Linked DNA regions of Lepisosteus oculatus. The protein of the gene in region 2 purifies or fractionates together with the protein of the main gene of each other region. This does not show direct contact. Links are inferred from orthologs where the notes say so. Each region holds a gene or a part of one and is shown on either strand. Other genes may lie near its edges.

Evidence for each region. Proteins that work in one complex are often made in the same cells at the same time.
Region 1: the proteins of nod1 (region 2) and ripk2 purify together in Homo sapiens (affinity purification with western blotting; 4 studies listed by BioGRID and IntAct, with this or other methods). This does not show direct contact. The link is inferred for Lepisosteus oculatus from reciprocal best matches to the Homo sapiens genes NOD1 and RIPK2.

Annotation. Positions count from the first base shown.
Region 1 is NC_090701.1:25,469,290-25,477,060, reverse strand, and holds the start of ripk2 (receptor-interacting serine/threonine-protein kinase 2), read left to right. Parts: upstream 1-4,613; 5' UTR 4,614-5,248; coding exon 5,249-5,439; intron 5,440-7,771.
Region 2 is NC_090705.1:41,585,801-41,593,924, reverse strand, and holds the start of nod1 (nucleotide-binding oligomerization domain-containing protein 1), read right to left. Parts: upstream 3,228-8,124; 5' UTR 2,825-3,227; exon of another isoform or gene 2,629-2,824; intron 2,153-2,628; 5' UTR 2,100-2,152; coding exon 1,902-2,099; intron 1,467-1,901; coding exon 1,292-1,466; intron 613-1,291; coding exon 1-612. Other genes in the region: gamma-glutamylcyclotransferase-like, read right to left, coding at 4,582-4,707, 5,335-5,467, 6,120-6,265, 7,480-7,590. UniProt on the Homo sapiens protein: Pattern recognition receptor (PRR) that detects bacterial peptidoglycan fragments and other danger signals and thus participates in both innate and adaptive immune responses.

The sequences.
Region 1 (7,771 bases), on a different chromosome or scaffold from region 2:
TTCCCTCTGGGCTTTGTGTTCCGCTTCAGTGCACAAAATCACAGATACAGAGTGCAACCTTTTATCCTTCCTGGGCCGCTGAGGGATGAGAATGTGAGAGACTCAAGTTCATGCTCAAGATTCCCCTTTTAAAATCAGACTTTCTATATCTGGCTAGCTGCTAATCTATTCTATAATAGTTTTATGGAGAGTTATTGTTGTTATTATTGTTATTGTCGATAGTGATTGCAGTAGTACCAGATGTACTGTAATTCAGTTAAGATCAAAGCAGAAGCAGTACAGAAATATTCAATTGAAAATGATACTTTCCCAAGAAAGCTTCAAGTGCTATTCGCACCTTGAGAAACCACAGTCAGTATACTTCTGAATACACTTCTGTATCTTGTTGAAAAGTGCTCTGTTCAATGAAATTCTCAAGAATGTTGCTCTGACCTAGGGGATGACCTTGAAACACAAGGCAAAAGGCTTGGGCAAATGGATGGGTTATTAGCCAAAGGAAACTTTAAGGTAAAAGAAGTTTCATTATAATTTCATGTTTAAATTAATCAGTTTTTCAAAAATAGTACAAACCTTTATTCCATACTCTGGTTCAGAAGGCTACAGAAAGGAGCCTTGTTATTTTTGCATTAACAGGCAGTCTGTAGTGCTTTTAAAGGCTTTGTTTCTGATTATATTAGCATGATGCAGTTACAGATAGTGCAATTAAGCTTCAAGTGATGATGAAGCAGTTAATGTGGCTTAAACTAATTCTATTAGAATGTTTCATAACTATTGGACAATCATTCTGGACAAAATAAAGCAAATGTACAAGAAAAAGAACAAAGTGGACTGATTACAAAAATAGTGTTTTGAAAACAAAATGTAACTGCAACCATTGTAAATGTGTTTCTTTAAACAAACAAAGACCCGAACATCAGCCTCTTGGTATTCTGGTGAGTACAGCAAAGCTCTGGTAGAGGGATGTTGTACATATGTACAGTGAGCCACCTCAGAAAAATTCAGCCAACAAGTGTTTGTGCTGTGCCCTGGAAAAGAAAAATACAGCTCAGAGCAAACTAGTTTAAACATATAAATAGTAAAAATGAAAAATGATTTTTTCAAGGGTAGCAACATAAATTACTAAAGAAAAAATGAATCTTGTTACATTCCATGCAATGTTCTTCCTTATTTTTCCTAATATTTAATTACTAACACTCATGTACTGCCACTGTAACAAAACTGTTACAAAACATAAATAGATCTGATACAGGCTGATTAAATGAAATGTGGCGTCTACTCTCTTTCCTGACAGTCTGTTTCATGTAGCTGCAATCGTATTGGTAACCTCAGTATAAACCTCTGTAACTCTGTGAAAAATAATGAAATCCCTTAGCTTCCTCACAGGAGTGAAAAAGCACCTCACAGTTTTAGCTTTCTTGTCATTGAAATTATTCATAAATTTTGAAAAAATTAAGATTTAGAAAAGAAACCAGCATTCAACGCTATTCAAATTCAGTTTAAAGCTTTCGGGAAACACCTACACAGAACCTATCAACATAATATCACCATAGTTTGCTGTGTGAAGAACTATTATGAATGTTGTTGACCCATCTAAAGAACTGATAAAAGAACACTGTGGGAGCAACGAAATTTGTCACGCACACAAGTGGAACTATAACATATATTTATATATTTTAGTGTATAATACAAAGCCTACCACAGGGTGGGGCCATTGAACAGAGTCCAGCTTCTCTGTTCCTCTCATCTGAAGGCTCCATTGTATAAGGAATTTCCAGTTTAAAGAATGTAACCTTTATAGTTTCTACAGAAAATTACATACAGTATTACATATATTTAAAATTCAATTCAGTGAGGAATTGTCCCTAGTGGGTCCCATCATTCAAATAATACAGTATCATTTTAAACAGAAAACAGAAGTGACAAAACCAACAGAACAAAACCAACCTTGCTGTACCCACAACAAACATTTTATTTTTTATTAACTTTTTCTATCTATCCATCCATTTTCTTCATCCATTTCAGGGTCATGGGGGAGCCAAAACCTATCCCAGCAAGCAATGGTTGCACAAAGACACAAACACAGACAAATACACATGTGGACCAGGGCCAATTTTTCCCAGAAACCAATTAACTTATTAGTATGTGTTGTACTGTGGGAGGTAACAGAAACAGAGCACACGGAGGAAGCCCACACAATCACAGAGAGATCATACAAACTCCACACAGATAGCAGCTTAGATCTGGAATTGAATTTAGGGCCCCCAGTGCAGCGATGTTAACCACTGTGCCACTGTGCAGCCTCCTCCCCACTTAATAAAAATGGGGGGAAAAAAAGTGAAAAAACAAAGATTGTGATTGACAAAAAGGCAAAACCAAGGAGAGCAAGGGGTTGCCAGTCCTGGTCCTGAAGGGAGAATGTCTCTATGGGTTTATTAGGTCTTAAAGCAGCAGCACCTGGAGTTCTGGGAGTAGCTGTTATAACGGTCCAATTAAGCCACTAATAAGCTGATTCAGGTCATTCCAAGCACAACTGAACTGAAGACCTCTAGAAAACCAGCCCCCCAGGACCAGGATTGGGAACCCCAGCATGAGAGGCTTTATCAGGCCAACAGTCATAAAGCCCAGGAACGGAGAGAACCAATTTCTGTCTGGACCTGGACTCCTCGGAAGACACACCGGTGTTGGCATCGGTCACACCTCACCAAAGAAACACTTCGGGATCAAAGTATACAACACTGGTAACTTCTGCCATGCCTTCTGGTATTTGGTTCTCCCTGAACTCTTAGTGATTTGATTGTAATAAACTCCCCACTTAATTGGGCTATACAATCAATATATATACTTCTACTGTTACCATGTCTTTATTCATTGAGGATTATGATTCACATTTTAGCTTATTTATTTTTCATTCCACCCCTCAACCCCATACTGTGGTTTGCATTGTTATAGTTTTCTAACATTTGTAATGTTTGTGTTCAAAAAGAAATTGTCCATTCATATTGCTTTAGCAATTTCTGTCATTCCTTTGAAATCCACTCTTTGAATTAAATTGAAAAATCATGTAATCCACTGTATAAATCCTGGTGGTCTGATATTTCCTAGAACCAGGAATGAGGATCACTCCTTGTAGAAATCTGTACCTTGTGGAAGTTTGAACAAGTATGTTCCACGCTGTTAAAGCCCCTGACATTTTTCAAGAATAGACTGGATGTGATTTGGGTTAAATAGCTTCTAGCAGCTAAATAAATTGTGGTCTTGTTTCTAATGTTTTTCTTACCATTTGTATCATTTGCATATACTGCACGCAACAGGTGAAAGGCAGGACATACACAGACTCAAAGCCATGCGTGCACAGGGAGAATATACAAACTCCACGCAGATAGTACCCCAGGTCTGCAACTTGCAAGTCAACCTAGGACCCGAGCGCTGTAGAACATTTTATCTTCTGTGCCATGAGTATTTATTAAATCAAGCACCTATTCAGAAAAAAAAACTGAACTAGTCTACAAGGACCATTTCATAAAATTAAAAATGTATTAGCGATGTTCGAGCGTTGTTTCGGTGATTCTATCATATCCAAATTTAACCATACAGTGTATGGCATAAACATATTCAGAACGGATAGTGCAATGGGTGTACGATAAATGTGTGCTCGGGGTATATGTATAAATCACACACGCAGACGATCTAGTGAATGGAAATCCCTCTCGTGGCAGCATTTAAATATACTAATTATACACTCTAACGTCAGTAAAGTCGAAAGTTGGAATTTCCCAAATATCATACGTAATGTTGTGCAATATGTCAGCCCGTTTAAAGAAAAAAAAAACAAGTTCCATCTCCCGTTTTACAACCTCAGGGTTTGTATATCTGCAGTTCAAGAAAACGATTTTATAAAAAAGGCACTTAAATAATTATTTTTTTAAGTTCCATCAATATACTGTACGTAATAAAGCAGGCCTACACCAAAAACCACTGTATCCTATTACCCAGCTCTAAGAGCTGTTTTGCATCACAACACGCTGGCATCGTAACACCGGAACAAGCTGTCTGAACTCTCGGTCACAAGACAGGGCTGCCGTGAGATCCTGCAAATGAGCGGGTGCTGTAATGTGCTGGCGGTCTGCTTCATGTGAAGGATGTAAAATTATGCTGAATAAAATGTGCCGATTGTAAATTAACGGTCTAGTTATAAAACCCTTATAGAATAAAATAATCTAGTGCCGTCTCTTCTAAGTGACAAAATGTACTGTACGGCTGTTCGTGAGATTTGGAAACTACTGTACGAGTTTGACCTAAGTGGGATGACAGTCTCGCTGTAATGAAACCACTTCGATATTGTAAAAATGAGCATATAAATTAACTCTTCTCACATGACACATACTGGAAACAAGATGAGAGGAGAAGACACGCACCATATAAAATCAAGCGTTGAAACTGTCGTGTCAGGAAAGTCGGTTATGATGATATAGCGCCTGCAAACCAAAACCCTCTTTAGTGCTGTTTATCCTTTTTGCCGAAATAGCAACAGTGCGTTTCATGGCATGTGCTGAAACTCGGTAAAATGAGATAAAATTCTGCTTTTCAGTGGGCATAAGTCGAGAATCTGAATATATCGACGCAAGGTATTGCGTGATGGTTTCTCGATTGTACGGTAATTTTTACATTGTCAAACCCGGAAGATACTTGCTTAGGAAATAACCTGTAGGACAACTATGCAGCCTTAAGCTGTATAATACATTCGTCCAAGCAGCTGGGAGGCATATTTTGTATGACGCGGTGTGTGTGGTTTAGAAATACACATCGCGAAGGCGCAAAAACGCAATAAATCGGTTAACATCGTTCGCCGCAGAAAACATAGGGGTAAAATAAATATAAAACACCACAACCCCCCGACCATGTCTGCCGATTTCATTACTTTTTCCGCTGAAGATACGACCACTTCGGGATTTGCACCTCACACCTGATTGCCTTGACGGTAATAAGAAGACCTGGCGGAAATGGGGAAAATATTCTGTTTCTGCGACGTCTGCTTATTTTAATTTGGTTTTTATTCATCACTGTATTAATTAGTGGAGTTGGACTGATTTTTTCTTGGTAGTTTACTATAACTAAAACGTATTAGTATTTTTGTCTGAGGTTACGATTTCATACTCGGCTTTGTACTGTAGTTTTCAATTCCGCTTCTCCTTACTGGATTGCCCTCCCTTTTTTGAGGCCTTTGCATTTAAATATTATTATTACTACCATGGAGCATTCGGGCTGCGTTAATATTTGCAGCCTGACCAGCACTTTGCCGGTCATCCCCTATCAGAAACTGACGGACTTGCATTACTTGAGCCGAGGCGGCTTCGGCACCGTGTTTAGAGCCCAGCACTCTGACTGGAGAACCACCGTGGCCATCAAGTGCCTCCAGCTGGACTCCCCGGTTGGAGAAAGGTGGGTTAACCGAGTCGTGAGCTTGGGGAAAACAACACGAACTATGTAAGCAGAAAAACAAATGCTATATTAGGCTATTGAGATGGTTTCGACGGTATGGCTTTTGAAGTGGCCTTAATTTGACCAGTATGTTTTCGCCACTGTCGACTTAAAACATTTTTTTTCTTGCGAAGTTGATTCGTGTTTCTTATGTCTTTCTTGTCAATAGTTGTACCTATTTGACAGTCACTGCTTCTTGAGATTTTTTGTAATATTTCACATATTTTTTATTGATACGGAAACACAGTAATTCGTGTAAAAATTCTCTAAATGTTTGGAGGCTACAGTATGTGGTGAATAACGTTTCTAGCCCATCTAGACCTCCAGTTATCTAGCAGGCAGTGAGTTCAGATCTGATTTCTCAAAAAGGAGGAAAACACTACTGGTGCAGGATGCTCGGAGGTCCGTGGTCTAGGATAAGATTGGTGTAAAAGCGAGAAAACGTTTGTCTTCAGTTTAAAGACAGTGACTAGCAGACCAGTCACGCTGCGCACGTGCGTCCAGTTGTTGGCTGTCAGTTCGATCGACAAAGTTCTACTGTTGTCTGATAGTCATCAGAGTTAGTTGCCCGTTTAGGCAGCGAAAATTGGTTTAATCCATTTAAACTTTCATTTACAATTCATTCTGTGAATAGTAACAGTATTAAAGAAAGACATATTCTAAAGTAGCATTAATAGTTCTTTGAAATACAGTGCTGCTTGAAAGTATGTGAACCCTTCAACTTTCATACGTTTTACCCAAATTATCTTTAAAATGTTATATCTGAACTCCAATATTTAATGACAATACCCAAAATAATGGACACACATATATATATCGTTTCATTATCTATTAAATGTTTATTTAACAGAAACTAAGTGATTCCTGTGTGCAAAATTAATTCAATAAGCAGTGGCACATCCTTTAACAGCCTTTAACAGCTATGACAGTCACCAAATGTTTCCTATAGTTACTAATGCATCTGTTACATCTGCATCTGACTCCGCCATTTCAAAACAAAAGGTCTTCTTAATGTATTCTTTGGTAGATTTCCTGAAATGTTAGGGTTATTGTCATGTCATTGGACCCTTTTTTCAGCTCAACTTCAACTCATATCATATTATCAATATTTTGGTATGACTGACTTCATAGTTCCTTTAGTGATCGTGGGCCATCCTGGTTCATGGGCAGAAAAGCAGCCTAAAACCATGACACTCCTACCAGCACGGATAAGGTTTTTTTGGTGGTAAGTCTTTGCTAAACAAAGCATTTTTTGTTGCAGCCGAAAAGATTAATTTTAGACTCATCCATCTAGAGACCATTCTTTGAAAAATCTACAGGGTCATTCAGACGGTCTTTTCAAAGACACACAGCTATGTTCTTTTTTTGAGAGCAGAGGTTTTCTGTTGGCTTCCTTCCGATGAATGCCATTGCTATTCAGCTCATGTTGTATTGTTGAGGAATGAACATGGACATCATCCGCAGCAGGAGAGGTCTGGAGATCCTTGGATGTGTTCCTGGGGTGCTTTTCCTGTATGATGTATGATGTATGTCTTGTTACTCTGTGTGGTCAGTTTAAAGAACGTTCACATCTAGGTAGTGTTTACATCTAGGTGGAGTCACCATGGTTTTAAATGTCCTCCATTTGTAGATTATTAGTCTTACAGTTGACTGATGAAATTGCTATGGTTTTATAACCCTCTTGAGACTATTGAGCTCTAACAAAACTCTTACTGAAGTCGTATGAGGTCTCTTTAGATCATGTCATGGTGTATTTCACTAAGTTTAGTATAATACAAAATACCATGATCTAAAGAGACCTCATGGGTAGTGAGTATGGGTAAGACCAAATTTAATAGGTTTCTTACTTTTGTATAATAGAAGGCCTCCCAAACTTTGTCCTGGTGATTGACTTTTTGATTGTTTAAATTGGTACCTAATTATTTATTATTCTTACCTTGATAACTGAGCTAATGAACCTCCGCTTACTTTTGCACATGCAGTAATTCGTATCTACCTATTTTTTTTTCTATTACATGCATCAAGTAAGGACTAGTTTTGATTAAATGAGGATTTCATAGTAAAAATGTAACATTTAAAAAGTTGCACTAGGGGTTCACAAACTTTCAAGCAGCATTATATATTCATTAATTTATGTTATCAGTAATTGTCAGCAGGTTATTTGCATTTTATGAAGCCAGGTCAGTGCTACTTTGGATTTCGAATTTAAGATAAGTGGAATAGACAGTACCTTTAGCAATCTTCCTCAGTCTGTCACTGTCCCCATTGGAGAGTATCTCTCCACCGTACTCAT
Region 2 (8,124 bases):
AAACCTTCCTGCAGCCCTTCAGCAGCCTCCCACTGAGCAGGTTCATGAGCAGCAGGAGCGGGTGGGTCTTCTCCTCGGGTGAGCAGACCTCTGGAATGTTCCTCGTGTCAATGTCGGCGTGGATCTCGTCAAAGCCATCAAAGGTGAAGAGCACGGTCTCCGGATGCAGCAGGACGTACCGGAAAACCTCCTCGTCCGGATCCTGGTCCGGGTAGCAGTTGTACTTGAAGAGGAGGTCCTTCAAGGAAATCTCATCGGTCTCCTTGAAGGCGCTGAACATCCTGCACCGGAACTTAAAGAAGAATTTCGCCTGGATGTTCAGCTGCCTCGTGGACCACAAGTTCTGCAGCTTCTGCAGCAGGATGGACTTCCCTACACCAGCATCTCCCAGGACCAAGATGGTCTCTGCAAGCTGGTTGAAGACCCCCCAGTCACTGAACAGCTGTTCTAGGCCGTCCAGGTGACCCAAGTTCTCATTGCGCTCGTTCAGCAGCTCCATCACGGTGTCCGTGTACATCTCATCCAGCAGCGTCTCCTCTTTCTGTGCGTAGGAGGTGATGAACTTGGTGTCCTGTTCCAGCTCATGGCGAAGCTTCTTGCAGTACTTGCTTACTAAAGAAATTAACCAAAAAAACTTAAACTCCATCAATCCAAACATAAACGTGAACTGAAAACTCTACTTCTAGGTGTTGAAGCAGGTATCTACAAGCTGGACATTGCTGGAACTTGGTAAAAGAAATGGGAAGGAATCTTAGCCGAGACAAAAAAATATTTTTCTCAACCCAGGTCCAGACAGAGACAGACCTAGTGCTAGAAAGTTGCCCTTGAGCCAGTAAGAAAAGAGCGTTAATCCTAAAGAGAGGGAAACCAGTATCTTTAACTTCCACACCTTAGATATCAAATACTGCTGTCCAACCTGCTCCCGCTCACTGAACATGTATGTCTAGTTACTTCTACCACCACAGTTCATTTTCACCTTTAATTAAACCACGACCACCTTAAATGTGTATTCAACACACATTCGAAATGATAAGGAAACTAACTTCCTTAACTTTTGTTGTTTAGTTATAAGGTTCCCCAATCAAAGAATTCAACTGTTTTCAGTTGCCAATTATCAATCTTAGTCCTGATGCAGGGGCAGCTACAAACAGCCAGTGTGCTCCGTATTACAGCCAGCTCGAAAACTAGACATAGGATTCTTGCAGGCACTGTAAATTATTCAATTGCAAACACAAACCAAAAATCTCAACATCTAATTAAGTGTTCCTTTATTAGTTACCCTAATATTTACCTGGATCAGTGTTGACCACTGGTAGTTCCTTAACAGAGTCAGAGGGTTGATACTGAATCTCTTTAAACCAAGGCCTTAGGTCTATATAGGCATCATAGGCCTCATGCAGAACATGCACAAAGTACTGAGACGCCTCTTCTCCTTTGCTCTGCACCAATTCCAAAATTTTACGAACCTGGCAAGACATGAATTGAGTTTTAATTAACAGTTAAATACAGGTATTTGTGAGAGTCATTGAGAAATCTGGACTAATTCGTTATTAAAAATATATTTTCTGCCATATCTTTGAGGCTGAATTTAACATTTTCTCCGAGCACATGGGTTTGAAAACTATACATTCTCCACTCATAATCCAGAGCAGAATGTTTTTTTTTTCTACTGTATAGATACTGGCAGGTTTATTTTTACTGGAGATGCCCAATAAAATAAAATAAAAATCAGACAAACTGGCCTGAATGAGCAACATCATTTAAAATACAGGGGGTATCTGAAGCATGCATTAACTGGCTTGAATAGAAACTTAGTTCTGTTATGCAAAGTCATGCGTTTCATGGTTTGTACCTTAAATTTACGGATGGCATTAGAGATTAGAAAGAAAGCAGTAGCCTACCTGGTCGGTTTTAGTAGAGAAGCGCGATATAATCTCTGCATCTTCGGTGCAGAAGAAGCCACTGCTGAGCAGGTTGTCTAGGATGCACTGCGTGTTCTTAATATGACTGACAAGTGTCTCCCGGTGCACTGTGAGGAGTCTAATGGTATTCACGCCGTTACCGGGCCTCTCTGCAGCAGAGCAGTCCTGAGTTCCCATTTGTCAAAGACCATGTTTCGGGGGGCAGCGATTTTAAAACCGGGCGACGGCAGCTGTAACAACACGTGGAGAACAGTGACTACCTTAAGGGGGAAAACTGGATGTCAGCACCATGCGTCAGAATCGGAAAATTATTTTCACTGAGGTATTATTATAAAAGGGTGCAGCACTCGCTCGTGGTGTAACTGACAGATTGTTTTTGCTGCGTGAAATGAGTTTGATGTCCTCAATGGTTAAATCACTAGCCTAAACTCTTCCTTGTTTTAAGACCTGGACTTAAAGGACTCCAGGGCCCAAACAGAGACTAGTCCTTCAAACATTTCCGATGAGTTTCACCCGTTCTGCTGATACCCCTTTTAACCACAGAACTGCGTCCAGTGAGACAGGACGAAATACCACGCAGTTCAAGTGCGAATGGAAAACGCAACTGCTGGTCGCGTTGTGTTTTGATGCATACAGTCAAAGCCTTTTTCCCCCCCTCACAATAATAATGGAATATTTAATAGTAATGTAAGAAATAGGCACTTACCGGTTATCACATAGACAAGGACCTATAACAACTAACTTCACTCAAGTGAGGAAGTGAAAACCCAGTTGTGATTATCAGCAGAATTTAGGAACACCTCCAGCTACATTACTCCGGCCCCCGCCTTAATTCGCCAGGCCGGCAGAAACAGTAGTAACCGAGACTTTAACGCTTCTTTGACCCTTTCTGCGTTACATACGTGACTTCGGCGACTCGCTCTTTGGCTGTCTCCAAATCTGCATTCGTCCGGACAAGGAAATGGCGATGTGGCGTATTTAGTATTTTAGGGAAAGTCGTCCGCCACCGCCCCAAGAACAACACTACAGCCTGGTACACGTTCCTAACAAGCAAGCGAAAGTGAAATACGAAGGTCCTTAAATTGTGCCGTTACTGCTACTGGAGCTGTGCGCCGCAGGGAGTTTTTACAATTAGCAGGAGATATTTGGGATTAGGAAATAAAAACAATCTGGGGAGATAGTTTATAGAAAAAATATAAACCAGCTCCTTAAATATGTCAGGTAGTACTGAGATTAAAGCTAAAACACGCTGTACAGTATGTGAAAAAAAGAATTATTTCCTTTCCACGGGTGAGACAAACCTCGGGGTTAGTAACTAATTGCGATTTCGCTTGGTCTCCGCTAGATGGGAGACAAAGCTGATTTTCTCCTCTTTCTGAGGTTGTTCAGTAGGTCCCTGAAAACGATACATCTCGTCAACTGCAGAATGAGATTGTCGCCGATACTTATCTTACTGCATCCCACCGAGCGACAAGAATGAAAACAGATTAAAAAGTAGAATACTATGTGTATCCACATTACAATTGTATTTATATAAACCATTCTTGTAGAATGTTCTTGGTTTTCATGTAACAAATGCACTTTTTCAGAACAATACAAGTTTTTTTTTTAATCTGATGGTTATTAAGTTATTATTTATCAATGTTTATTATTCCCACCAGATTGTGTTCATTTTTATTAATTAATTTTCGAGAAATATGTGCACAAAGTTAAATGGAGACTAAGCGAATACAACCTGACCTGTAGGTGGATTTGATAGCCAGGCAAGAAGCTATTTACAGGAATCTGAAATAAACAGAATCTTAAACATAAAAACCGGAAGATGTCAAGTGAATGGAAGTTGTCGACCAGGCTCTTCCGAGGGGAAAAACTAGTTCCTACAACTACTAGTTTTTACAACTAGTAAAAAACAGAGAAAAAGAGAAACTGAACATCGAACAAAATTTCTGCTTTTGCCATTTTATTAAATTTTAAAAGGTGAAACAATCTCTCAGTTCTCCAACTGATCTAGCAATTTTTAACTGAATTATTAAAAGAGTGTGACATTTCTACAGGGAAATTGTGTCACAGGTATATTGTAGGCAGTACTGCACTGTAGTCTGCAGTAGCCAACTATGCAACCCTGCAATTTTAAGACAAGGAACAATTGTGCAATAGGTACAATTAAGGGACAAGAGGTTCACTTAAGAAAATAACAGTAAAAACTAAAATAATATACATGCACTATAGCAAAAACAGTAATGCAAAGGGGCTTGCATTTAAGTACACATTGTTTGTACTTAGTGCAATCAGCACGCTATATTACCAGTTTAAGAATTAAAAGCATTGGTGGAACACAGAGTAAGTGCTGCTGAAGTACAGTATGGGGGTGAGAGGTCACAGGTGACGTCTACAGAGATGCGTCTTCACTAGGTGCCGAAAGTGACTGGACAGCTGCAGTTCCCATGGCTGGTTCATTTCACCAGCATCTTTTTAAGACGAGTCCATGATGACAAGTTGGCTCTGGTGTTCAGTATACAGGAGGTCCCGGGTTTTCTGTTGGTAATAAAGTGGGAGCCCAGAAGTGTACATTGACGGTGCATCTCGAAGGAGTGAGCGCACAGCAAGTGCCCAGAACCTCCAGGTCAGAGCACTGAGCCATGGTGATGAGCGACACAAACTATTTCAGTGATTCCCTGATGTCATCCAGCACCGTGGCCCCGTCGTACGTATTGGTCTCCACGGAGTCCAGCATGTTGATGTAGTCGTCAGGCAGGCCGCTCTGTCTCGCTCCTGAGCACACAACCTTCCGAAAAACAGGAGTGAGTGGGTGAGGCAAAACAGGGTCAGACTGTTAAACACTGATTCCCAGCGTCATCGCAAATTCTGCATCCCAAGATTTAATTTGGCTCATTGGCAAAATGGTCATTGCTATGGGGGGCCTGATTAGCCGTTAGCCAGGAATGTGCAGAATCTAACTGTCCTGAGTAACTCTCCGTGTAGACTTCTTCCAATCCAAAATTTCTAATGAACTCCAACTCACTTAAACTCTTAAATCACAGAAGTAGACTATGCTCTATGTGGAGTTTCCACAGTTCAATAAATTAAAAAAAGATTGTCAGCTTGTTATATGACTTCAGATTAAAAAAAAACATTATTAGCATGCGAAGCAAACTGAGTGTAATGTTTTCATTTGGATGATAAAAAATAAAACAAGTTCTTGCAGTTGCAATTATATTGGATTTTTCCAGATACAAGGCCTTAGTATAAACATACAGTAACACTATTTATTTATAACACAAACAACATATGTCTTTATTGAAACAGATTTTAAATAATGTATTTATTTTTCTTTGGTGCATCCAATGGAGTCAGAAGAAAAAGATCCATCCTGAAAACCTCCTTTAGATTGGTTACTAGTGTGGTCTCTTACCTGCTTGTACTGCGGTGAGGTAAGGCAGATCTCAAAGTCATTCATCTGGTAGGAGCGACAAAGCAGCTCTCCTCCTTCTGCTTCCACCTTCACCTCAACAGGGCTGTACACCTGCAGACTGACCAGCTCCTGCCTCCAGAACAGACACACGCATGGCATAATGGCACCGTGTAAAGCTGTACTCGAATTCCTATCCTGCAAAGTGCACGCATTTGGCAGGTACTCGAAAGAGATTGACAGCAGTTGCGTTTGTCACATTCAACAGAACTGCACCGAATCTACTGTAGCTAAAGTCCTCTCACTTTTAGGAAAAGAGGTTATTAAAGAAATTTAAACTCTTGGTTTTCTGCAGAGAATATTGACCTTGACATCATGCCATGAGGACTAAAAACTAGCAAAACACAAGTGACTTGTTGCCTGTAAGTAATGCAAAATTATTCAAATGAATTACACTCTGCTGTGCCACAGAAACAAGTCCTGCCACATTTGCACCTGAGAATGCATAAAAGGCTTCAAGGCTGAAAGAAACTGTAGAGAACACAGAGCTAAATAATAAACAAAGCTGAAAATATAAAGTAGTGACTGACAGTAACAATATGTTATCTCTCAAACTTTCTTATTAACAATGTGGCTAACACGAAGTAGGGTGCTCTTATCAGGCAGAGTTAATAGACAATCTCCACTAGGAATGTGTTTTTAATAATTATTGACTACATATTTTTCTTGAAGACATTCGGTTTGTGATAGCGTTTACTGTATTTTAGGGGTACAAAAAAAACACGTACTCATCTAAACTATGGAGATGGATAGTCCCGATTTTCCACACAGCTCCCCAGACTTCATCGCCTCGGCTTTCTTGAATAGTCGCCAGGCCTCCGTGCCACCTATTGTTTTCAGCCTCTTTCTTCAGTCCAAACTTTAACGCGTAGTTCTAGATCAAAGGAATCTCCATTAGTACAAGAGGAAGTCAGTGCAAGCGTTTCCACGGGAGCAACCACATAGCGGGAGCTTCGCAATGATGCCTGCACCCGCCGTGAAACACCTGGACCAGGACTTTGATTTTCAGACACACAGTCAAATATTTAGTAAAAAGGGAAATGTAAATAATACTGGAAAGGTGTCTGTACCACTTGCTCTTCTACACCGATTTTGTTTTTGGCTACAATAGTTATACAATAAAAATATGGAAGCCCGTTTACTTTATTTCTCGCAATTGCGACTTAAAATGTTAGAATTATGACTTAAAATCTCGTCAATTCGACTCCATTTCTCGTATTTACGACTTTATATCTCACAATTGCGACTTAAAATGTCAGAATTACGATTTGAAATCTCGTAATTCCGACTTCATTTCTCGTATTTACGACTTTATATCTCACAATTGCACCTTCATGTGACAATTTTGACATCACTTCTGGCGCCAGCAATGAACGTACAGTAGGTTGCTCATCTGGCACAATAAGCCCACTGTGGCGTTATACTTTTCTTGTGTCTCCTTTTGGAATGCTATGTTTAGCAATAGAAACTGGAAATTGGTTTGGATAATTGTTGATAGATGCTGTCTTACAAATAAAGTTAAAGCAATTTCATTTAAGATCGTTCATAGATTTTATCCTGTTAAATTGACACTTTCTAGATTTAAACACGAACAAGATGCCGGCGGGGCTACAGAAGGTCTTTAGCTCAACTGGCAGGACCCGGGTTCGAGCCCATGCAGGGAGGCACGAACTAGGGTGGGAGCGGCGAGGGCACAAGCCCTAGAACCCGAATCCGTTACAACAACAAAGGGACAGAGAATGAAATGTGGGCATTTCGAAGTCGCAAATGTGAGACAAAAAGTCGTAATTCTGAGATAAAGAAGACGCAATTGCGAGACATGAAGTCGTAATTCTGAGATTTTAAGTCGTAATTGCGAGATATGAAGTCGTAATTCTGAGATTTTAAATCGCAATTGTGAGATATAAAGTCGCAATTGCGAAATATGAAGTCGTAATTCTGAGATACAATGTCGCAATTGCGAGATATCATAGCGCGGTTTTTTTTTACTGCCTGGCGGAAACGGACTTTATTTTTTTTTTTACACGATGCAACAATTAAACAACAATTTACAACAGAACAGGGAAAGTGCAACTTTTGAGAAATTACCTTTAACCTGCCCTTGCAGAGAAATACTGCAGACGGGTTTTTTAGATGCAGTCTTTCTTTCAGCAAATTACTCCCGTAAGCAAAGTACAAGAAGTACCCGTTGTTTGTCATGACCCGATTAATAATAGCTTTTTCCACACTGCAGCATTAACGTCGACAAGGTCAAACAGTCGAACTTTTCAAAAACAATCACTGTAAAATACCTCTCCAACCGGCTGTCGAAGATAAATTATTAGTATTGCGGGCTTTGCGTGAACAATAAGTGCCAATAATCCTTTCTTTTTCTTTACAAACGGAAAAAGACGCACAGAAACTTATCCGCGCAACTACAGCACCTGAGATAATAGACTGGATTTACTACCTGGTCTGTAGCCTAGACAGTATAGATATATTTTTGACCTGATACTCATTAATTAACCCTTGAAGGCCAACATCCAAACACGTTGCATTAAAAAAAATCACGTTTCTTTTTGGGAACATAGAGGCAAACGTAATTTAATAGGGACGTCCACAGCGAGCCGTGGACACTGAATGGCAGTGTATGCAAATCTGGCAGCAGAGAAAATTTATTTCAAGCGATCCGACCCCTATACTTCAACCCCTCGAATCTGACCTAGACCTAGAAAGAGTTAATAAGAAGACAAG